4 linked regions of the Caenorhabditis elegans genome follow. The protein of the gene in region 1 interacts with the protein of each later gene in a pairwise test. Each region holds a gene or a part of one and is shown on either strand. Other genes may lie near its edges. The genes, in order: gopc-1, clic-1, snb-6 and grl-4.

What was found.
Region 2: the proteins of gopc-1 (region 1) and clic-1 interact in a two-hybrid assay, tested with the Caenorhabditis elegans proteins (one large-scale study listed by BioGRID).
Region 3: the proteins of gopc-1 (region 1) and snb-6 interact in a two-hybrid assay, tested with the Caenorhabditis elegans proteins (one large-scale study listed by BioGRID).
Region 4: the proteins of gopc-1 (region 1) and grl-4 interact in a two-hybrid assay, tested with the Caenorhabditis elegans proteins (one large-scale study listed by BioGRID).

Annotation. Positions count from the first base shown.
Region 1 is NC_003279.8:14,183,697-14,191,329, forward strand, and holds gopc-1 (Golgi-associated PDZ and coiled-coil motif-containing protein), read right to left. Parts: upstream 5,272-7,633; 5' UTR 5,200-5,271; coding exon 5,101-5,199; intron 4,598-5,100; coding exon 4,499-4,597; intron 4,435-4,498; coding exon 4,324-4,434; intron 4,278-4,323; coding exon 3,957-4,277; intron 3,897-3,956; coding exon 3,763-3,896; intron 3,705-3,762; coding exon 3,566-3,704; intron 3,154-3,565; coding exon 2,989-3,153; intron 2,941-2,988; coding exon 2,840-2,940; intron 2,241-2,839; coding exon 2,165-2,240; 3' UTR 1,932-2,164; downstream 1-1,931. Other genes in the region: ZK849.1 (PDZ domain-containing protein), read right to left, coding at 1-63, 110-230, 283-422, 873-1,034, 1,137-1,328, 1,822-1,899.
Region 2 is NC_003283.11:7,732,418-7,738,072, reverse strand, and holds clic-1 (Clathrin light chain), read left to right. Parts: upstream 1-3,161; 5' UTR 3,162-3,187; coding exon 3,188-3,281; intron 3,282-3,355; coding exon 3,356-3,414; intron 3,415-3,462; coding exon 3,463-3,827; intron 3,828-3,974; coding exon 3,975-4,137; 3' UTR 4,138-4,449; downstream 4,450-5,655. Other genes in the region: srr-9 (Gustatory receptor), read right to left, coding at 24-63; srr-10 (Serpentine Receptor, class R), read right to left, coding at 1,049-1,406, 1,484-1,801, 1,875-2,155, 2,209-2,378, 2,424-2,454; T05B11.7 (uncharacterized protein), read left to right, coding at 4,578-4,787, 5,270-5,362.
Region 3 is NC_003280.10:8,857,209-8,862,231, forward strand, and holds snb-6 (V-SNARE coiled-coil homology domain-containing protein), read right to left. Parts: upstream 2,489-5,023; 5' UTR 2,412-2,488; coding exon 2,331-2,411; intron 2,290-2,330; coding exon 2,211-2,289; intron 2,134-2,210; coding exon 2,087-2,133; intron 2,042-2,086; coding exon 1,940-2,041; 3' UTR 1,858-1,939; downstream 1-1,857. Other genes in the region: npr-20 (Thyrotropin-releasing hormone receptor), read right to left, coding at 3,705-3,822, 4,157-4,314.
Region 4 is NC_003282.8:7,308,510-7,313,648, forward strand, and holds grl-4 (Ground-like domain-containing protein), read right to left. Parts: upstream 2,252-5,139; 5' UTR 2,250-2,251; coding exon 1,869-2,249; intron 1,815-1,868; coding exon 1,743-1,814; intron 1,696-1,742; coding exon 1,516-1,695; 3' UTR 1,329-1,515; downstream 1-1,328. Other genes in the region: F42C5.6 (DUF2650 domain-containing protein), read right to left, coding at 1-171, 219-359, 408-548; rps-8 (Small ribosomal subunit protein eS8), read right to left, coding at 4,535-4,644, 4,691-4,996, 5,047-5,139.

The sequences.
Region 1 (7,633 bases):
GTCCGCCATCGACCGCTTCAACTTCCCAGTGACCACGACCGGACGGAACTGATCACAACCTCCCTGAATAATTCCATTTCTTCAAATTTTTTGGCTTTTCGGCACCAACCGTAATCTCGAGCCCAAGCCCCTGATTGATATGCTCTCTCATGAGAATCACGAGCCGCGGAGAGCTCTGCCAATCGTCTCCGTTCTCAAATGCAGCATCACCAAGGTCCGACGAGTTGATCCTGGAAAATTTTTTGATGCTCCAACAAGTTCCCACAGAAATCCATCACCTACCGATTGATGAGCCAAAGCGTGTTGAGACGCAACAAGCGGTTCTCCTTCTCGATCTCGTCCCACAGTTTCGATTTGACGGCCGACTCGATCGTTGCCGCGTTGCGCACCAAATCCATCATCTGTCGCATTGCTGCCAGCTCCTGTAATGAGTCTCATGGGAAAGTGTGGGGAGGGGACATGATCATGTAAAAAATGATGATGCGTAGGGGCCAAAAATCTAGAAAAAAAGTGGGGGAAATGTCATGGTGCATCGACAAAATGTTTAGGCTGAAGCTTTGGCTTGGGTTTTGGCTTAGGCTTAGGCTTAGGCGTAGGCTTAGTATTAGGCTTAGGCTTAGGTTTAGGCTTATGCTAAAGCTTAGGCTGTGATCTAGGCTTACGCTTAGACCAAGGCTTAGGCTTAGGCTTACGCTTATGCCTAGGATTAAGCTCAGGCTTAAGCTTGGATTAAGGCTTAGGTTTGGGTGTAGGCTTTGGCTGAGGTTTAGGCTAGCAAAAAATGTGGCCAAAGTGGAAATCACCAATTTTTGGGTAACCAGAGCTACCTGAACCTCTACCCCACATGGTGCATCGACTAGGTAGAACCGTACCCTTGCGTAGAACCTGGTTGCCATGAGATGCATGACACTCTTCTTGGACACCTCATTGATATGCTTCGCCATCCGCTCGTTACGCCGCTTCTCCACGTTGAGCTTAGCCTCCACAAGACGGTGCTCCTGGATCCTTTCCATATTGTCACCGACTTCTTGTTTCTGAAATATTAAGCGTTGAAGTAGGCAGGTAGGCACGAAAGTGCCTGCCTGCCTAGTACTTGTAGGCACCTAGGTAGGTATAGGCAGGCAACATTCCCTCACCATATCATTGAAAATCTGCCTGGAAGTCGCGTCTCCCTGATGATTCGCGGCCAGCAACAAGTGGAACTGCTGGATGACGTCATCATGGGCTTCAGCTATGGCACGAAGCTCCACGAGCTCCTGGAGACACTCCTCACGCTCCTTGATTGCCAATTTCTTAGCGGATTCTTCACTGGCGGACAAAGTGCAAACCTGGAAAAATAGTTTGTGATAAATTAATAAATTATCGATTTTTCTCGTCATTGCCAAGTTTTCAATAACCGAGAAAAAGGAGTTTTGAAGTAACTATTGGAAACTTTTCAAATTCCCGCCACAGTTTTGTACCGGGATACCGAAAAGTCGATACATTATCGATTTTTTCTAAAATTTTTAAACTACCGCCCGACCGGGATTTTAAAGAAACTTTATACTAAACAAAATTCAAACCGTTTTTCGATATTTCGAGCCGGATAGCTAACAATTTTCACAAAAATCGATGATTTCTTACTGATTTTCAAAGCGAAATTTTTAAATTCCCGCCTGACCACGCCTACTTTTAGTCAGCGGAATATCGGAGTGTCGTTGGAGTGCGACGAAAAATCAATAATTTTTTGAATGACATTTGCCGGAAAACTGACATTTTTCCAAAAAATCAATATTTCTCCCAGAATTTTCAAATTCCCGCCCGACCGGAAGATCATATTACCTGCGTAAAAACATTCGAAATTGCCTTCAAATGGGTAATCCAGTCGTCCTTCTCATCGGAAGCCAGCGCCTTGGACATTGCCGTATTGAAGACAGCAGTAAGACGATTGATTTGTTGACACGTCATTTATTGATTTTTTTGCGGAAGAAAAATCGATAAACTCAAACAATAAAAGATTTTTATGCAAAAAGTTGGAAAAAGCCAAAAAAAAATCCAATGAGTTGGAGGAAATGACGTGGCAATTAGGGGGAGGAGGAAAGTCACGGGAAAATATACAAAAAAAAGTTTTTTTTTTGAAAAAAAAATTAAATAAAACCCGTCAAAAAATTCCACATTTTGGAGGTCACGTGCTGCGTGATTCATCAGAATTGTTGGACGATCGGCTTGACGTGGGCTCTTCCATACTGTAGAGGTTGTAGCTAAAACAAAAATTTAAAAATTTGACTGGGAATTCGAATTTTCTGTTGAAATTTGGCCGAAAATTTGAATTTCCCGTCGAAAAATTAACTAAAAGGTTGAATTTCCTATAGAAAAACGACAAAAAATTGGAATTCCCCGCCGAAAAATTCATTAAAAAGTTGAATTTCCCCCAAAAAATAGGCTGAAAAATTGAATTTCTTGCCGAAAATAGACAGAAAATTTAGAATTTTTTGTCGCAAATTGACTAAAAATTTGAATTTCCTATAGTAAAACGACAAAAAATTTGAATTTTCTATTGAAAAATGACCAAAATTTTGATTTTCCAGTTGAAAAATTAACTAAAAAATTAAATTTCCAGTTAAATGTTAACTGAGAATTTGAATTTCCTCCCTAAAACTGACTTATAACTTGAATTTCTAGCTCAAAATCAATTGGAAATTTAAAAATCCCGCCTAAAATTAACTGGCAATATGAAAATCCCGCCAAAAATTAACAGAAAATCAAAATTTCCAGCTGAAAATCGATTGAATATTTAAATTTCCCGCTAAAAACTAACTGGAAATTCAAATTTCCCGCCGAAAAATTCCCAATAACTCACATAGATCCATCGCTGTGCTCGATCGTCACCGTCCCATCATCATCACTATCCTCATCGGGGCACACAAAGACGAGCTCCAGGTCTAGGTCGCCTTGCTGTACCTGGAATTTGGAGGGGATGTAGGTGGAGGGCCCCTGGCAGCATCTTACCTGCCCACTCAAAATATCCACTGCCTCCTGATGCTTGACAGTCCGAAGATCGTAGCCGTTTACTGAGAGAATCGCGTCGCCCACAAAGACCTGTCCACATCGGTCAGCAGGCTGTCCCGGCTGGATTTCAGATATCACTATGGGTAGAGCGTGTTCGGATCCTCCCTGGAAATGGATTTTAGGATCCAGTAGGATTTTTTAAGATCTTGAAGAACTAGGATCCATCCGGAGCTCCGCAAACTATCTGGAGTAGTTTTGAGCTATGCAGCAGAACTACAAAAGCAGGGGTTGTCAGAGTGTCTCATTTTAGATTGATCTACATTGATCTACAAAAAATGCGGGAAAAGAGACGCAGACTTTTCAACTGACTGGGAGAAAAATTCCCGCATTTTTTGTAGATCAAACCGCAATGGGACAGCCTGACACCACGTGCAAAAGTACCTCATAATCAGATGGCACATTTGGTCTTACGGGAACTGGATCAACTCTCAGATCTTACAGGATCCCGTGGATCCCCAAAGGAACAAGTCTAGTCAATGATCTACTGGCCCAAAACCATCCAAGTCCCCCCACCTACCGTAATAGAAATGCCGAGCCCTTCGTGCGGGTGTTTCGAGAGCACCACTTTCCTGCTCTTTCCCACTCCATTTCGTTTTCGGAGGCTCTTGAAGTTGTGACGAAGTGGCGCCGTTAATCCCTTCGTGTTACCCCGTCCTCTGCAAGAATGGCAAATTGTTCAAGTGGGGAGCGGCCATGGGAAACGTGACCGCCTACCTGCAAGCCCGGATCACTGTCTTGTGCCTGTGGAGGTGAATTTCGGCTTCCAGCTGGTTCCAGAGCCTGTCGTGCTCCACGCCGCGCATGTTTCGTCCCAGGAGCTGGATTTGTTGTATCCGGCCTGCGAGTTCCTGGAAGATTAGGGTATGTAAAGCCTTGAAGCCTTAAAGCCTTAAAGCCCGATGGCCTACCTTATCCAGGTACTTTGCCGCCAGCCTGGCCCCGAAGACCTCAGTCTCCAAGGCCTGAATCGTCCGTTTTGACCGATCACACTCCTTTCTTGCAATTTCCAGCTCACAAACCGTGCTCAAACCCTGTGTAAGCTCTGATCGAAACTGTGTCAGCTGGGTCTCCAGCTTCTTCTTAATCATGTCTGACTCATGCGGCGCCGTCTTGGAATGCAGTTGGCATTGTAATGAGTGAACTTGGATCATCAACTGCTCCACTTCCTTCTCCATGCTCTGTCGAGCGGCGCGGGCTTCCACGACCTCGGCGCGCATTGTTATCATTTCCTGAAAAAATTAACAATCCAACTTTTTTCAGCAAGCCTAAACTCACCTTCTCCTGTTTACTAATTGTGTGCATCATGAACTGACACTTGTGCATCATTTGTGCAAAGCAGGCGCTCAATGACGTCATCTTCTGCCGGCCCTCGTAGGTGATCTCAACCTGGATACGTTAGGATTTTGTGGACCTGGGCTTGATCAGGTGGCCTGAAGTTCTAAGCTCTTACCTGGTCCGAGTCGACTTCTCCTAGCAGGAGATCCAGTGAGACGAATGCTTTGTCGAAGTCTTTCTCCAATGATTCTGTCCATCCTGAGCCACCTTCCATCTGGAAATTTTGAGGTTTTAGGGGTAATCAAGGGGAGGGCAGGGTTCCGATCAAAGTTTGGCTGAGTTGAAAGGATCAAGGATCCCGGCTAGTCATTAGAAAATTTGACGGCTCTGGCTTATATGGCCTAGCTGAGCAAACTGTTGTGAAAAGAGCCCTGATTTGGAATAAGGAATAAGATAAGCTGATCGGACCAAAAATTCGGGCCTAAATGGGCAAATACTTGGATAAATATGATTCAGGCTAAGCTGAAAAGGGCCCGGTCCAGTCAGTTGTCGTTTCAGACTAGGCGGGAAGTTTCAAGGTACCGGGCCTAGTTTAGCTCAACAATGATAGGCTTCATAAGTCTAGGCTAGTCAATGGGAAATCTAATTCGAATTATTGGTTTCCAAGAACGGATGGATCAAGGATCCGGGTTTAGCTAGGCTTGGTAGACTCAAACCAAGAGGATAAAAAAGCCGGGCTTGACTAGGCTTAGAACCTAGAAAGCCCAAATCACTCACCGCAGAAGCTTCACACTCAAAATACTCAGACTCCGGGTCCACCCTAAGCACAGTCTGGGCCTGAAGCCTGGCGCCAGAGCAAGCCGCACAATGGCTCATTTTTTTAGTAAAACACTAGTTTCGGGGTGATGATGATGATGATGATGATGATGATATGTGTGGAGAACTGGGTGTGTGTGTGTGTGTGTTTGTTGGAATAGGGTGGAAAAGAGCCGTCGGGGGACACCGGATAATCCAATTGTCGTTTTCTTCCCGTCTTTTCTAGAGAAAGGCGTCGGGGGGCTCTGTGAGGAATAAGAAGATGCCTCGCTCGTTTTTAAGAAAAAAAATGGGGTGGGAATGGTAGAGAGAGAGAGTGGAAGAGGACGAAGAAAAAGAGAGGAGGGACCCCAATTCCGGGAGCTTCATGTGTGTGTGTGTCAATGGGTATACTTTCACACCAAATCAAAAGTTTTTCGCATTTTTGTTCCCTCTTTGTTGCACAGTTGAAAAGTATACGATAATTACTTTAACTACGAAATTGGGGGTTTTACTCCGACCTATGGGTGTTCTACACTGACCTATAGGTGCTAAGTAGACCTGAATGGTTTTGATCCGACCTAATAGGGTTTTACTTTGACTTAACGGGGTTCTAGTCCGACCTAAGACTTTAGAAATCTACTCCGATCTAGGAGTTCTAGGATCTACTCTAGGCCCTTCCTTGACCTAATGAGATTCTACTTCAACCCAAGGACGCTCTGCTCCGATCCAAAAGAACTTTACTCCGGCCCAAGATTTTAGAAATCTACTCCGATCTAATGTTTTTAGGGTCCTATTCCGATCTAACTTTTGAGGTTCTACTCCGACCTAAGACTTTAGAAATCTACTCCGATCTAGGAGCTCTAGGATCTACACCGGCCTAAAGGGAGCCTACTTTGACCTAATGAAATTTTACTTCAACCCCAAGGGGTTCTCCCTAAACCTAAAAGTTTGAGACTCTGCCCCGGCCTAAAAAACTTTACCCCGACCTGAGATTTTAGAATTCTACTCCGATCTAAGATTTCGAGATTTTACTTTGACCTAAGCGGATTCTACTCCGACCTAAAGTGATACTGTTTTGACCTAAGATTATTCTTTACCGAACTAGGGGGTTATACTCCGCAGAGTCCTTGTCCGACCTATTAGGCTTCTAGTTCGACCTATGGGGTTTCTAGTCCGGCCTGAGAATGTGGAATTTTTACTCCAACCTAAGATGAAGCTACTCCGATCTAACAAGATTTTAAGGTTTTTTTTAAAAGGAATCCACCTTCTTTGAGTTTCTACCCCTTACGACCTAACACGCTATAATTCCACTCGACGATTTTTTGGCACTTCTATTACTAGCCGAACACTAACAAGCGGTAGTAGTTGAAAAGTATCCGATAATTATTATCCCCGCTTCCTTTATATTGACCACTATTCATCTGAACGACTTCCTCTGCATGCTCTCTGCGCAAAGCTAATTCAATTTGGAGTCGCCTTTTTGGAATTGGTTTTTAATGGAGGAAGCTTGATTTTTCCATTTTTTCAACGTCTAATGAGTTGAAAACAAAGTGGGATTTTGGGATTTTGTGCTCATTTGAGAGCCCAAGCTTGCCTAAAAGTATGACGGGACCATCAGAAGGCTGAATTTTTTTTGTACATTATGGTAAATGGAGGCACTATCTGGTTCCGTGGGGTCATGGTGCATTGGATCATGGTATATCCTATCCTGGCTTCTAATCCCAATGCGTTTACAGTCATGTGGGCTTGAACGGGCCTAGCTGAGCTTGGACAAAGTTCCTTGACAGTACGGGTCGACAAGCTTGACAGTCAGAAATTAGGCACTTGTGGGCTACAGGTGCTCGTAATTATTTTGAGAGTTCTGGGCTTCCGGACTTTTACTAGGCTAATCTAAGACAACTGGGCTCTAATCTTCTGGTCAAACAGTTTCCCTTTAGATTTTAAATATCTGGGCTTCTCTACGGTCCCTTTTTATTAGAGCCACAAGCTTACGGGACTTCACTACAAGCCTAGTTAAATTCCAAAGAATATCTGGAACAAAATTCAGCATTCTGGAGCCCGTCGGGCTTGAAATATAATTTTGAAACTTAAAAATAAACTTACATTTGAAATGAAAAGCTCTAAAAATTGAGTATAAGAATAACCGGGCCATGTCGGTGAGCCACTCTGAGAATAACCACCATCCTGGAACATAGTCTCCACTCGAAACTGAGCTTATGAGCAGAGTCGAAAAAGCGGATCAAGAAGTAAGATGAGCCCCCCCCCTTGGCTTGAGCCATGTGAGAAAGGCTAGAGACACAGAAAGAGAGAGAGGTTCGCCAAATCACATTGTCTCCGTGTACGGGGTGCGCCGAAAATTATGTTAAGGAGTCGAAGCAGCGGTGGCGGGGGGAGCGGGAGAGGAAATGTGAAACGCAAAAGTTCCGTTTCGGCTAAACGTGATGATGGCTGAAGATCATCTTCTTCTTTTTTTTTCAACAAGACCATAATTGAAGTTTTCTAGATGTCTTAT
Region 2 (5,655 bases), on another chromosome or scaffold:
GATTCAAGTTTGATTCAACATACCATCAAAAGAGAAAACTGGGAGATTTGACATTTTTACCATCAATTTATCGAGTTCTGAAATGAAAACTCTACTCTTTTCTCACTTTTTGAACCTTTATTTATACTTTTTTTGATTGTTTCCATAAGCTTCGGTCTACTGGCACGATTTTTATGAAATGGAGGAAACATTGGGCAAACCAAAGAGACCCAGACGCAGTGTGCGAGCTGGGTACATTTTGTGTGACCGTTTTTGAATCTGAGTCATTTCAAGGTGGATCATATCTACTTTAACAGGTGATATATTCTTGGAATATTTTGCTTCGGATGTGATCCTAATATGTATAAGTCAGGTTTGGAGGTGCTTGAAAACGACATTTTCAACATTAAGTTCAAATTTTTTTAATTTGGTACTAATATGGCATGTAGAAATTCTAAATTTCAGGAATTTGCGTTAATAATCTTGTAAGCAACAAATTCCTAGAAGAATATTCTCCATAACTTAATCCTTTTTTAAGACATTGTTACAGTACCCAGTTCTACTACCTCACCATTTTGGAACTTCAAGTGTAGTTCCATGACATCTCTCAACTTACTTGTATATTTTAATAAATCAACCCGAGAGAGTGTTCGAAATTGTACTTATTTTTGCTGAGGAATGATATATTTTGTCCAATATTAGCCAAAGGCTGCTCCAATATACAAGCTCTTTGTGCACATTTCCTGTGACCAAAAATAATGAGTCAAGTTTGAACCAAAATGTTATCACTAAAAATCATACGGGAATTTTGATTTTTCAGGTATTTCATTTACCTGATAAGGCTTGTTCATTTTTTCTTATTCCGTATGAGTATTTTGATTTTAACAATGTTTGTACACTACTCCTTTCAAATTACGTTTTTTTCTAGTAGTTTTGAATTAGAATATACATATTAAAGAATCAAATGTATGGGGTTTCCCTCAAATTTAAAGTTATTACGAAAAAAAGGTTTCCAGCTTTATTCAAAATTCACAAAATGCCACGCGAGAAACAATTGAGATCATTTAAATCAAACGTGCCCACCATTGGCAAGAATAACTTTTTTAATGATTATTAACAGAAAACCAAAATTTGGAATAATAAATGTACATGCCGCAAAAGTGTTTTGCGTAATTGGTAGGGAAGCTATAATGCAAATTCGAGTCTCAATTTTCTGTAGGCGATCAATCATTATCCGATAAGTTTGATATACAATTGGATCTTTTGTGCATTCAAATTCATCATTATTGATCAAAATGCAGTTGGTAGATTTCAGATGTTCTTGTAGAGTGCATGGTGGAATCAGCACGAAAAATATGTAAAAAATTATTGCAGCAAGGTTGAATCCAAGAATAATTGAGTATAAAAGAGGATTAGAATTGAAGAATCTGTAATTTAAAGTTACTATTTTCAATTATAATTTAGACAATCAGCCAAATTTTGCTACCGGGACTTTTACACTTACGAGGTGATATAGATACCATTGATTAGACTCCACAACAAGAAAAATGGTGCAAATCCGCCAAGGCTCGAAAGTGAGCCATTGGTAACTAATATCATCTCGAGAATTTCATTCTGTCGGATATCGAATTTTTCTAAAACGCCAATGTTTTTCAATGTTTTCTCTTCTTTTGCTTTTTGCAGCTCTTCATTAAAATAATTAACTTCGCGGTTCAGAGCAGAAGAGATAAAAATGTAAATTGCAAGACAGATTGTCGATATGTACCAAATGTAGAAGTTTGTAACCAGAATGAAAATTCGCGAGAGAAAATTTTGCTCTCCTCTGAAACATTCAAACATTTAAAAAAATCGAAATTTCATTTATCATTCCCAGATTTTCCTAGACTAGAACTTACCCTCCATAATATATCTTTCCATTGATGAAATTGTAGATTATCCAAGACATCATTGCTACAAACCAAGGTATTGAGAAGCACAGAGCAAGAATATGCAGAATACGAAAATTATCCAACTTTGGATTTGCCACCTGTCGTAACATTCGAACTCGTACCAATCGTCCGCAAAACTTTTGGACCAGTCCATTTTTAGTCCACCCAAAAACACAAAGGGAGCACACAAATCCAAATAAGGCAGAATATCCGAAAAAATTTCCTTCTCCCCATCCGAACGATAATGGCTGTAGAAAATATCTCGTAAGTTTTTCTGTTTTGAAACTCAATTTCCACTTACAGTTCCAACTGTTTCCATTAAAATTGGAATTCTTATGAGTGTTACTACGATCATAAAAAGTCCTAAAATGCATGTGAAAATAGTCATTCGTTTAGATTTTGCAGAACAATCTAGCAATGAAAGCTTCACCAAATACCTGAAAGGGCCAAGTAGTTCTGACGATATATCATCTGAAACTTTTCAAATCATTATAGAAAAGTTTATGTATACTTCACCATCGGAAGAAAATACGGGAAGGGTGGACATTCCAAAACTTTTAAAATCAAGTCAACTCCGTTCTCATTTTTCAAACCTTTATACAAAGAAGATCCACAGAAATGATGTCAAATTTCTTTTCTTTTTTGTGACTCGTTACGAATGTGAGTCATTTCAAAGTAGATAACATTCACTCAATTTTGTGATACGGTATTTAATGTTGCGGGAACATACTTATTATTGATTAAATAAATATTGATTTTCAATATAGGTGAAAAGCTTTGGGTATTCAACGGGCTTGAAATAGTTTGAATATAATTACACTCATCTAACTCTACTTTGGCAGTGTTTTAAATGTTCAATAAATTCCTGAAAGAGAGAAGTAACATTTTTTGAGCAGTAGTGAAATCGTTTAATTTGAGATTTTAAAACACGGAAGTTTCTCTACAAATCCCTATGATTAATTTCCTTTTCACGAAAATTTTCGCGAAAAATGAAGCTCTGTTGCGAAATTTAATTTTCAAACTTCCGCCAACAACCGGTCGCGTCGCGTGCGCGCGTTGCGGCTCCAGCTGTCCTCTTGATTCATTCCACTATTTCGCTCTTCCCAACACGCTGTCCTTCTCGGATTTTCCAGTTTAACCGCTTGTTTGATTTGTCATCTTCGTGTTTTCTAAAGCTTTTCTGTCTCATAAATCACTTGTTTTATCTGCTAATTATTGATTTTTTCCAAAAACATTTAAATTTTGAATTTCCAGGGTATAAAACACAAAAAAACTACAAAATGTCGGATCCAGTGGCGGATTTTTTGGCTCGTGAACAGAATTTATTTGCTGATTTTGATGGGGCACCACCAGCAGCTGCAGCAGCTAATCCAGGTAAGATTTTGTTATGAAATTTCATGAAATCGATGATTCATTTGTTTATTTTACATTTAAAGTGATTTTTCTAGATGCGCCAGAAGCCGATGCTCCAGCTCCAGCTCTTGATGATGACTTTGGAGACCTCCAGGTTTTTAACAACTTTCTTCAACAAAAAATATAATATTTTGCTTTTAAGATTGCTGGTGACGAGCCACCACCGGTTGTGCATCCAACTGATTCCGGAGTCGATTTGGATGGACTTGTCGACGACAATGCTGCCGCACCAGCAATCGTTGTTCCTGCCGTAGAACCAATGGTGAATGGAAATCATTCTGCTTCTTCCGGAGGTTCTAAAGGTCCATCACCAATTCTCTCAACTGTCCCAAGAATTGAGGCTGAAAAAATTCGACTGTGGAAAGCTCAGCAAGAGCAACTTCTTTCGAAAAAAGATGAAGCTGAAGAAAAGAAAAAGATTGAACTTCGTGCAAATGCCAAGAAGGAGCTTGAAGAGTGGTATAAACAACGCGAGAAGACCCTTCAATTGTCACATGACGAAAATCTGTAAGTTTTCGAAATTCGATTAGATTCTTAAACACGTAAAACCATTTGCATGAAATATTGAATTCAATCATTTTGAACAAAAATAGCTAAATTATTAGAAATTGCTCAAAATTATACTTTTCCCAATTTTCATTTTAAAAATTGCAGGAAAAACGAGAAATCCAATCAAGAACTTTTCGCCAAGCAACAAGATGGAGATGCTCAATGGGAAACAGTGAACAAGCTCGTTGATCAACAAAAATCGAAGAGTGGAAAGGATCTGAGTCGTCTGAAAACCCTGCTTGCTGGTCTGAAACATGCTGGAAAATAAACAAGTATCTTGAATATTTAACGCAAACACTTATATTTTTCTCGCCGTTATTTTTCCTTCGCATATTCGCTTCAATTCTTTTCACTGTTAAATAATGTATTTATTATTTATGAGCAAAAGTAGTCAAGTTTACGTTTCCCGATTTGGTTGTCATTCACTTTCCCTCCCTCCAGCCACCACCATCATTTTGTGTCGCCCTTCAAATTTTTTTCAATTCAATCCCCTGTTCTAATCAATCCATTTGAGCTCCGATTTCCGATAATCCCTTTCTTGTGATAAGTAAAAAAAGAAGATGAACTGTTTTACCGCCCCATGTTCGTCTTTCTTAATAGCGTATCCGTTCGCTTCTGATTCTTGCTAGGTGTTGTGTTGTGTTGTGGCATGCTCTTTTGTTTTTCTGAAATCTTTAGCCCAACGCAGCCAACATCTGGCAGTTTCAGATGAGTTTTGGAGATGGCAATCCCACGTTCGAAGAACTTATGGAAGTTGTGCAACGGCAGCAAGAAGTTATTGAACTTTTTGAGCAACAAATTGAAGCCTGTCGTATAGAATGTGTGAAACTGGCAGATGAAAGTGAGAGAAAGAGTGAGCTGTTTATTGAAATGGAAAAGACTGAAGAAATTATGAAAAATGAAATTGAATTTTTGAAAGTAAGTGAGAAACTTTTATGTTAATATTATTCACATGACAATATCAGATGTTTTTGAAAAAAGGAAAAGAATAAAATACTATTTGATTATTATCCAGATGCGAAAATTTGCGATTTATGGCTCAAATATGGTCTAGACACGACCGAATATATTCAAATGAAAAATAATGTGCGCCTTTAATAAGTACAGTAGTATCCGCGAAAAGGTGTTTTGAAAGTTTATTTGATATTTTCTTTAGAAAACTTTCATTAAAAAATATTTTTGTGAAACTAAATAATTGAGAAAAAAAAACAAAATGTAGAAAAGAAAGAGGAAATTTTTTGTGCAAAAGAGAAAGGCGAAACTGGAGACTACTGTACTTCTTAAAGGCGCACTCTCAATTTTCATTCGAATAAATTAGGTCGCGTCGAGACCGGACATCGTATTTTTGTCTTAAAAATCGCAAATTTCGCCACGCAATAATACATCCGAAATTTCCACAGACCGGGAATGATTCAAAGCGAAATGAACGGGAGGAGAAAATAACTGATTCGGAGCTGGAAACTGTTGGGGAACTTAGGATCAAATGCAAAGAGGTATTTAAATTCTCGGTCCCGCTACGAGTCAAATATATTTCCAGCTACCGTACCCGTGAGTACGGTATGTTTTATTTTTAATGGGTTGGCTGATATGTATCATGTTTCTAATAATTGTTAATATTAAAAAAGGTTATAAATCAAAAATATTAGAAAAAAACGGATACACGCACAATGAAACTCAAGGGTACGGTAGCTGGCGAATTTTCACTGCAATTTTTGCCATATTTCATGGATCATTTTAAGACCAGTGTAAAAGAGAACATGCATCATTAAAATTACCTGAAATACTT
Region 3 (5,023 bases), on another chromosome or scaffold:
AAGATTAAGCATTCCTCAATTATCCAAAACAGTTTTTTTTGAAAATAAATGTTGGAACATTGACGAATAAAAGTCATATGACATACTTATTATTTTGAAAATGTATTAACTGGTTGCTTTAATGAATTATCTTTCCCTATCTCCCACTCAACTGAACAGCTTCAGCTCATCGTGTCGTTCATTTTCGCTGTGTATTTTGAATAATAAAATCAACAAAACGATTACGTGACTGCCCGGTATCCTAACTAGTTTATTCTGTTTTATTCAATAACTTACTATTCGTTTTATGACTTGCCGTGCTTATGATGAAATGCCAAAAAATTGCGTCGAGTGAATGAATAGCTATTTGATTTTGGTCATTTACTATTAATACCATTAAGTAGTTTTGTTTTGACCACAATCAAATTTTTCTAATTATGACTGTGACTTCTTGAACAACATTGGAACACCTTCAGTAATTATTTGACTTTTGAAAGTGAACAACCACTTGAAATTAGTCATAATTGGTTCCAGTGACCTAATTATGTTTTATAGCGTGAATACCGAGAAACTAATCCAGAAACGTGTTTTAGAAATAAAATTGAGTTGGCGAATGTTGCAGATTTTTAATAGGAATGAAGTTTTATTTGAATGCAGGAATTACAGTATTTTAAATAATTTTGAAATTTAATTTGAAAGGTTACTCTGACACAAAAACATTATCACAAAAACAATAACACACATTCGATGTGATATATCAAAGAATGATAACACAACGAGAGTAGAGTTATTTCATAAATATAATTTAACGAACGGGAAAAAGGAAATGCAAGGTCATTATGTCTGCGCGTTGAACCAAAGTAGTACTAGGTCATCCCGGGAGGATACGGACGAGCGCCATCTGTTCACAGTGAGTAAGGAGACTATATAAATATGAGAGAGATTACGGCTTCTGTCTACGTCTACCGTTCGGCTTATTAATCCGCATCTTGACGACATGGTCCACGATTTAATTGTGCGATAGCTTTTTGTAAATTCATTTTTTTTGGAGTTTTTATTCCACGTTCTAGATGTTTCAGATAAAAAAGGTTTTCAGTTCTTTCACAGAGCCTAAAATTGTAGTAAATATTATTAGAAAAATACCGCACCACCGAAAAACCGGCAACAGATTTCCCGTAGCCATATAACAAACAAATATGTTTTACAATATTGACACATTCCTTAATTATTTCAAAAACTTTTTAGTCTAATAGTATCTGCACCAAATTTTTAAAAGAATTCAAAGAAATTTATCTTAACTTTCATTCGCTAAATGTTACTGAAAATCGAGGAGATACAGTTTACTTAGAATAGCAGTTTCATAGACAGTAAAGTGGATTCACCAATCATATCGAATAAATTGATAGCTTCTTGATATTCAGTGAACAATGATTTCATAACAGGTATTCAAAGGGTTCAGTAGATGATAAATTGACGATAGTATCAATTGAACAAACAGCGACTATTCAACTAACTGTGACGTGGGAAAAAGAAATAGATTCGATCGAGGTTCCAGCTATTTCTACTTTTTTTTATAGACAATTGATCAGTGATTCAGCAGAATTTGCATTTGAATTCAGGGTTGATGAATGAATGGGTCACACGATGAAATGATGGAAAACATGGAATGTCTTGGGACAAAAAATAAACATCGTTGAGTTGTCAAGTGGATTAATGATTTGGTTGGATCAGAAAGTGATGTTTTTCTGAAAAGGTTCTGGAAAATTACAAGGAAGAAAACAAATTTAGAAGTTAGTATTCACAATAGTGGCAAACAACTTAAAATATTTTGTTCGCAATTTTGGAAAATCTGAAAGAAAACTTTAACAAACAAAAATGTTTTTTTTCTAAATTCAAAACTTTATTCAATACATAGAGGCTGTTAAATCAATAAATCATATTGATATATGAAATTGAACATTCAGAGAAATGCGTATGCGATTCCGGCAAAAGCAGACACACTTGATACGGCGATGATACCATTACGAATAGCATTGGCTTTCCAGCTCATCTCACGCTTGATCTAAAAATTTAAATTAACTTGTTGTTTATTTCAATTTTTAAATACCTTGACAGCACACTTGACGTAAACATCTGAAGCTTCCTCGAGTTTTTCTGAAATTAAATCTTAATTTTTTACTTCTAATAAATTAATTTTTTTGAAACCAAAACTCCCAGTTTATGAAACTTACGAGCTCTTTCAACGAGATCGTCAAGTTTTCCCTGTCTCTCCATAATTTTTTGCACGTTCTCCTTCATGATGATTTTCACCTAAATATAATTGTTCATTTTTCTAATGATAAATGTCAAACCGAATTCAATTCCTGTCTTGTTCTCATAATCTTTTGATCGTCCCAACCAATACGACTCACTGGTAGTTGTTGATGAATCATGAAGTAATTAGCGTCTGCTGTTTCAGCAAATAAAATGTATTGATACTTTTTGAAATTAATTCATTTTTGTTGGAATGATGGCACGTGTGTTTTCTAACCAACAAGATTTTCACGGGGCATTAATTTATGATATAAGAATTGTATATTTTAGAACTCTTTAATTTTTCGAGACCTTTCATGTAGTACAAGTGTTTGAAAAACCCTATAAGTAGAAATACTCTAAAACATCCTTCCTAAACAAACTTTTCCCAATTATCGGTTTACCGGAGAAAGCTGACTTCTTTATTTTCTCCGCCAGTCCCGCATTTTCTTAGATTACTGGCATTTATTTCCGCATTTCACTATGTATTCTATGTTAGAACAACTTGGACAATTTATGAAAAGAAAAGTTCATTTATACTCGAAGGAACCCGTAAAAAATAATTCAACTTCCGGAACAACACTGCAACTTTTTCCTCACGAGGGACGAGGAAAAATGGTTTCTAGGCCATGGCCGAGGAGCCGACAAGTTTCAGCGGCCATTTATCTTGCTTTGTTTTCCGCCTGTGTTCTTTCGTTTTTCACAGCCTTTTGCCGTTTTTTCTTATTAAAACTGATAAATAAATATTTTTTGCAGATGCTAAAACAATTTCCAAGTAAAAAAATTATGTTATCAGTCGGCAAGTAGCGGTGAAAGTGGGCAACGTAATATGATGGATTACGGGAATACAAAACCCAATCGTTTTCCCAAACATGATACATATGCTGCTTAGATGCTGAAAGTACCTGATTTTTATAACGAGACCGCTGAAAAAGTTTTGAGGTTTTCAAAATTCAACTTTTTTGGTGAAAAAGTCGAGATTTTCGCACAAAATGTCGAGTTTTGAAAATCTCAAAACTTTTTCAGCGGTCTCGTTATAAAAATCGGGTAGTTTCAGCCTCTAAGCAGAATATATACCATGTTTCAGAAAAAGTTTGGGTTTTTTATTCCCGTAATCCATCAAATTACATTGCCCACTTTCACCGCTACTTGCCGACTGATAGCATTATTTTTTACTTGGAAATTGTTTTAGCATCTGCAAAAAATATTTATTTATCAGTTTTAATAAGAAAAAACGGGAAAAAGCTGTGAAAAACAAAAGAAAACAGGCGGAAAATAAAGCAAGATAAATGGCCGCTGAAACTTGTCGGCCCCTCGGCCATGGCCTAGAAACCACTTTTCCTCGTCCCTCGTGAGGAAAAAGTTGCAGTGAACAATTGAGCTATAATTCGATGTACATAAACAAGTATTTACAGCAACGATTTTTTTTTAAATCAACGAATCCTGTGCATTCTGATTGGAGCAGGACTTGGACATCGAGAATCTTCTGGTGGAACATCGCTGACAAGCGTCCTGTTTCGGGAGCGAGATATCCTTGAGAACACTCCTTTCCTGAAAAAAATATAGATAGTCCATTTGTTCACTAGTAAGTTTTCCTAAAATAAGTACACAAATATCAAAGTATTAGATTCGAGTTTGCGAACTAATTTTGTACTCTGTGATCTTATGACAAAACGACGCAAAGCACAACGCACACAGCACACGACTGTGAAAATCGTCTCATCCAGAAATAAATTTAAATGCAGAATCTATACTATAGTGATGTACAAAGAGCAAAAGATTGTCTTGAAACCTTATCTAACTGATTTTTAATTCTGTATTTTATTAGTCTCAATACGAAATAAGAATATATGTAGTATTTCTGTGGAATATTTTATAAACTAACCTGCAGTGTATTACATCAGATAGTGCATTCCTAAACCGTTTTGATAAACATGCATATAGAATTGGGTTAATCGCTGAAGATATGAACAAGAATATATAGGACAGTGGTTGGAATATCATTGTCCAATTTGAATTGCAGATGGTACCAGTTTGGAAACTCTGAAAGTACTTAAAGTTCTAAAATTTTAATCGAAATTATTAGTGGTGGTTCAAATTGTTCAAAAATCGTTTGATGTTTTAACATCCACTTCACTTTGATTCCTAATCAAAAAGAAAATTTAATCTCAAATAAATTAGTTGTCAATATTGGTTCTTCAATAAACCAGGATCCCGTTCTAAGTATTTTTATTTTTCTTGAGAATTAATTTTGTTTTTGGTTTCTCTTTCAACCCTAAAGGTCCATTGTGTATTTTTTGCGATATAATCATTGCTATATGTTATTTCTAACCTAGACTATTAGTTAACTAAAAACAAACCAAGGAAATATGCGGTAAACATGTCGAGAGCAGAACAAAATCTACACGTGTGTAAATCACTTCCTTCTATTTTAAATTTTTTTTAAACAACTATTTTACCCTTACAAGGGAAGTCTTTGAGGGGGTCCGTAGATTTGGAGTTCTCATGCTGAAATTCCTACAGAAGAGTGTTAGTTATGATCTCTCCAAAAAATTTAGCTGCCCCGGTCAAGTTTCAGCAAAGTTATGACGTTTTGAAATTTCAGTTAAAAACACCATTGAAATCCACTGTCTTACCATGCAATCCACGCAAATCTCAGCTTGCGTGACCACCGAAAATGTGACACCCACCACATTGAGTTGAAAAATGTCCTCGGTGGCCGAGTTGGGAGTGCGCGCGTCTGATAAGATTT
Region 4 (5,139 bases), on another chromosome or scaffold:
ATCTCTTCTAAAAGTTGTTGAATCTTCTGCAGCTAGTTGACGAACACGATCCGCTGCTGAAGGGGCTCTTCCGGTTGGTTGTTGACTTGAGGAGCACAAAATTCGGCGGATTAGGAAAGTGGATGCAGGAAGAACGAGACAGATTGGAAGAACAATTATCATTATGACAATCTGAAAATTTAATTTAATCGGAATAATGAGTTTTCAAAATAACACACCCAGACTCTCAGATGAAAGCAACATTCTTTGTTTAAATGACCACAACATTTGTAAAAAGATAAAAGAGTTTCTTCAGGACATTGATTTCCAACTCGATGTGTTGGACACCAAATTGCATCACTTTCAATCTTCACCACAGTCTGAATGATATCTTTCAAAATTTCAAAACCAAGAACCTTGAAGCTCACAGTAGTCCCTATTGATCCCTCTGTTTGAGTCTCTTCTGAATTTTGTGCCAAAAGTAATGAAAAGTTGTAGAATGCAATTAAAAACTGAATTAAACTAGTAAAACACGAATTTAAAAACGTCTTTCGATGAGAAAAGAGCATCAAGATGGCGATCGATAGAACATTTCTATGAACAATTGAGAGCACGAGCAGACGGTCTCTTCAATCTAATTTCAGCCAATTTGCAGAGTTATGGCTCTTTTATTTTCTTTTGATGCACTAAAAATTTACATTTTCGCGTTGTGTTGAGCATTTTTTTTTGTTTTTGATAGTTGAAAGGGATCTTTTAAAATTAGGTGCAGGAAATTGGAAATAAAAGTGACTTTGTCAACTATTTGATTATGGTTAGTATCTGTTTTAAAATATCCTCGAAAGATCCACAATTTTTGAAAGTTTAGCAATTTACCAAAACTGTGACTGAAATTTTTAAAAATCAATTATTTTTTAAAGATTTTTCCTATGATATTCGGCAAAAATAGACATTTGTAACTAGAATGTGCCGAAATGATGTGAGAAGAGTGGTGTTATAAGGTACTGTAGGATTACTGTAGTTTTAGAAAAAAAAGAGTATTTTTATTTTGAAGTGATAGTGAGTGGGGGATCGCGATTAGATGTTGTTGGGGTACTGTGGTAGTACTGTAAGGTACTGTAGTAGGGTACCGTAGGACAACTGTAGGATCATTAGTTTTTGTATTTTCTAAGCCACGTAACAAAATCCGCTCTGTGACGGTTACTGTCCAGGGGAGATTCGTTTCCCCCGCTCCTTCAGACGACACCGTACCTGTTTGGAAGTATAACTCTACTATGTTCTGTTTTCAAACTTTCCGCTTCTTATTATATTCCAATGTTCACGTTCAAAGTTCTCAAAAACAATGGGATCTTGCACGAGATCGTCGGTTTATTTTGTAGCAAATTAGAAATGAAAAAAACCGGGGGACGAGGGAAGTGATAGACAAAGAGAGAAGTGAAGGTCATATATACAACACAAACCGGAATGCATTCTCGAAGTATATAATAATTACTACACAAATAAAGGAAACGAAGACAAATAAGAATAACCGACAAAGAATTACATCGGTCTGAAAGCGTAGCAAGTGACGTCGTCGTTAGCCACTTGGCAGTAGGTCTCGGTGTATGCTACGTAGGAGAAGTCTCCTCTTGCGCAGATAACATTGAATTTTCCGAACATCTTCTCCTCGACAGCCTTTTGGATGGCACGCTTTGAGATCGATGGGTCACCGTTCATGTTCTGTAAATATAAAGTTAAGAGTTTAAACCAGAAATTTATAATATTACCCTCTCCATAACTCTTCTGAGTTTCTTGCTGTTGCAGGTTGGATCTTCCTCTGGATCCTCAGTGGTGAACAGCTAAACAAAAAACAATTATTCCCAAAGTCTAGATGAAATCTCAAAGAAACGTACCTTTGATCCATGAGTTCTATGTCTAGCCATGAATCTACATGGGCTTCCACATCTGCAGCAACAATCGTTGGCTGGTTGCATGGCATATTGATTGAATACCGGAGCTGGAGCATATGATTGACATGGGGAATATGATGGCATCGGTGGTGGTGGCGGTGGGCACATCGGCGGTGGTGGTGGAGGTGGTGGTGGAGGACACATCGGTGGTGGAGGACAGAATTGAGGTGGGCAGATTGGAGGTGGAGGGCACGGAAGAGGTGGAGGTGCACACATTGGTGGTGGAGGTGGAGGACATGGTGGTGGTCCCATTGAACAACATCCTCCGAATGTTGAAGATGCTATAGGGATGATTGAAAAGAGAATTGAAATGGGCAGAAGCATCTGGAAAATAAAAACTTTTGATTAAAAAAAAGAAAATTTTCCGAATTGAGGGATTTTGGATTTAAATATTACCCAGACGCGAAGCTTTGCGCCGAAATTATAGTACCCGGTCTCGGATGCTGTAATTTCAAATTTTCTGCGAAGTTTTCTGAAAAAAAGGTGTGTTTTAATTTTGTAATTCGAAAACAACAATACAAACGCGTACATAAATTATACCAAATATTGATAAAAGCTACGAAAATTCCACTGATATGAAAGTTTGAATTTACGGTACTCTCTAAAGGCGCACACACACACTTTTGCATTTCATAAAAATGTGTCGTGCCGAGACCTTCGCGTCTAGGTAATAAGATCACTTGGTTCCAGAAAACAAGTGGTTTGAAAAATAAAATGAAAAAGGGTTTGTGATCGGCATCTGTCCTCATCTCATCAATAAGATTTTGAATTGAAACAAAGAAAAGAAGATGGCATTTTCTTTTGATCATCATCAATACCTTATATACCTTTTTGCCATTTTGACCCTGACATCTTTTGGCACCGCCTCCATTACCTCATTGCTGTCGAGAATTTGACCCTCTAGAACTGGTTTCACACAGCTTCTCCCTCCTTTTTTGAATTGGATGATGAGTAATCGTGTTACGTCACCTATTAATTATAGGAGACGAGTAGGTGAATCCGATTGCTTTTTCTTTTTCTTTTACGATTTCTGTTGAAGTTAAACTTTTTAATTTTCAGACAATTGAAATTTACTGGAAATTGAGAATCTGAAATGATTTGGAAAATGCTAATCACAAGTGAACTTTCATTGTTCACATTCAAGGTTATCTGACACCTTTGGTAAATTTTGTCGCACATCATTACTTTATTCATTTTCCTATTGAAATTGATGCATACATAAGATCTGGAAACTGGTTGTGGTATGAGTAATCCTTGGAAGCATCTTTACTTTTTATTACCGTATTTCCTCTATTAGTTAGGCACCTCCATTAGTTTTGCATCTAAAATCACTAATCGAAAATTAGTTTTGCATCCTCTATCAGATTCGCACCTCTAATAGTTTTGCTCCCATTCATTTGTTCCCTATTTTTAGGAATTCAAAATTTGCATTACAAAATCGTTCTAAAAATTAGGAAAACTTTTACAGACTTGGTATAATAAGTCAAAATTGGCAAAATATGAGTACAACTCGGACAATGTTTGCGTATGAGTCGTAAAATTCGTCCATTTTGGTTCATAAGTTGTTATTGAAATTGATGATATTATGCCATAATTTAATGGAAAACATGAGAAAAAACCTGTTCAAAAATTAGTTTTGCTCCTCCATTAGTTTTGCATCAAATTAGGTGTCCGAAAATTAGTGTTGCATGCCTTACTTATAGAGGAAATACGGTATCTTATAATTTTTAGAGGTGATTCAAAAAAAACTAAAACGAAAATCTAGAAAACAATACGTATTTTTGGTTAATTTTATGTTGAAAAAATTACAATTTTTAGTCATATATGATTTTTTGGAAAGTTATGACGTCATAACTTTCCAAAAATCGAACTCTTTTGATTTTTCTTCATTTTTTTTGAAATCTAGGAACCGAATTTTGAAATTTAACATTTGATTTTCATGGAACAAACGAAGAATCCTCGGTCTTGAAACGAAACAAACTTTTTTGAAAATTTGCGTGCGCCTTTAAAAAGTACAGTAAGATCTTAATCTCATTTTTCCACGTCTATCCTGATCTGCTTTTATTTCCTCCATTATTTCAACGAAGTCAGAATGAGTCGGAATATAAATGAGAAAAGCTTTTTACTTTTAAAAATCATATTTTGGCATCCACGTTTAGTTTCCTTCTCGACATTGCCAGATTCGAATTAACAAGACTTTAAAACACCACGAACTTTTCAAACTGCTTTTGTACCTATAACTTAAGGCGCTTCTGAAACTGTGCATTATGAGCTCATACTAATCCAGAACGAAACTCTTCTCGATGTATTAAAAATGTTCATGTCATACTGGCCAGCCCATCTCTGATCACTACTACTTCAGCCTTCCCGAGAACATCTCTATTAAAAAGCAATCCTTTGCAGACCGAACTGAAATTCCTTTAGACCCATGGGCTGTCTGTCAGGAACATCTTTAATAATAGAATCACCATTGTATATCCTTCGCCCAACAATAATGCATAAAATCCCTGCAGTTGTAACCTTATTCCAAATGTGCTATTAACAAATTTCTAGTAACAATTCGTTTATGTTTTATGTAACAAAAACAAGAAAACAACCACAAAAGGCATTTACTTGGCCTTCTTGGCACGAATCTTGCGAAGGTAGAAATCAAGTTCCTTTCCTTCGAGGATGTATCCGTTGGCTTGTCCGACTTGTCCTGGGGAAGAAGAGATGCGAGCTGAAAAATAATGATTAAACTTGAAGAAATTTCTGAATTTTCTTACCGAGAAGACGTCCAGTGTTGAATTGCTCGATGAGGAGTGCATCAACAGCAGCAGTCTTTTGACGCTCGGTGTACTTTTTCATGGTGTGGTGGGATCTCTTCTTGTTGAGGATGGCGTTGTCTTCCTCGGAAAGCTTGGCGTTCTTCTTTCTGGCAAGTGGGAGAGCATAGTGAGCCTCATACCACTGACGGAATGGAGCAGCATCAACGCTGATGATGGCTCCTTTGACAAGAGTCTTGGTACGGACCAACTCGTTGTTTGTAGCGTTGTACATGGTATCAACGATACGGGTCTTGCGAGTAGTCTCTGAAAAATCAGAATATGAACGGTTTATAAAGTATAATAACGAAACTTACGCTCAGAGGCCCAGGAGAAGTTTCCGGAGTCGAGGCGAAGAGCTCTGTACTTTTCGTTTCCTCCACGAGTGCGAACGAGACGAACGCGGTGGG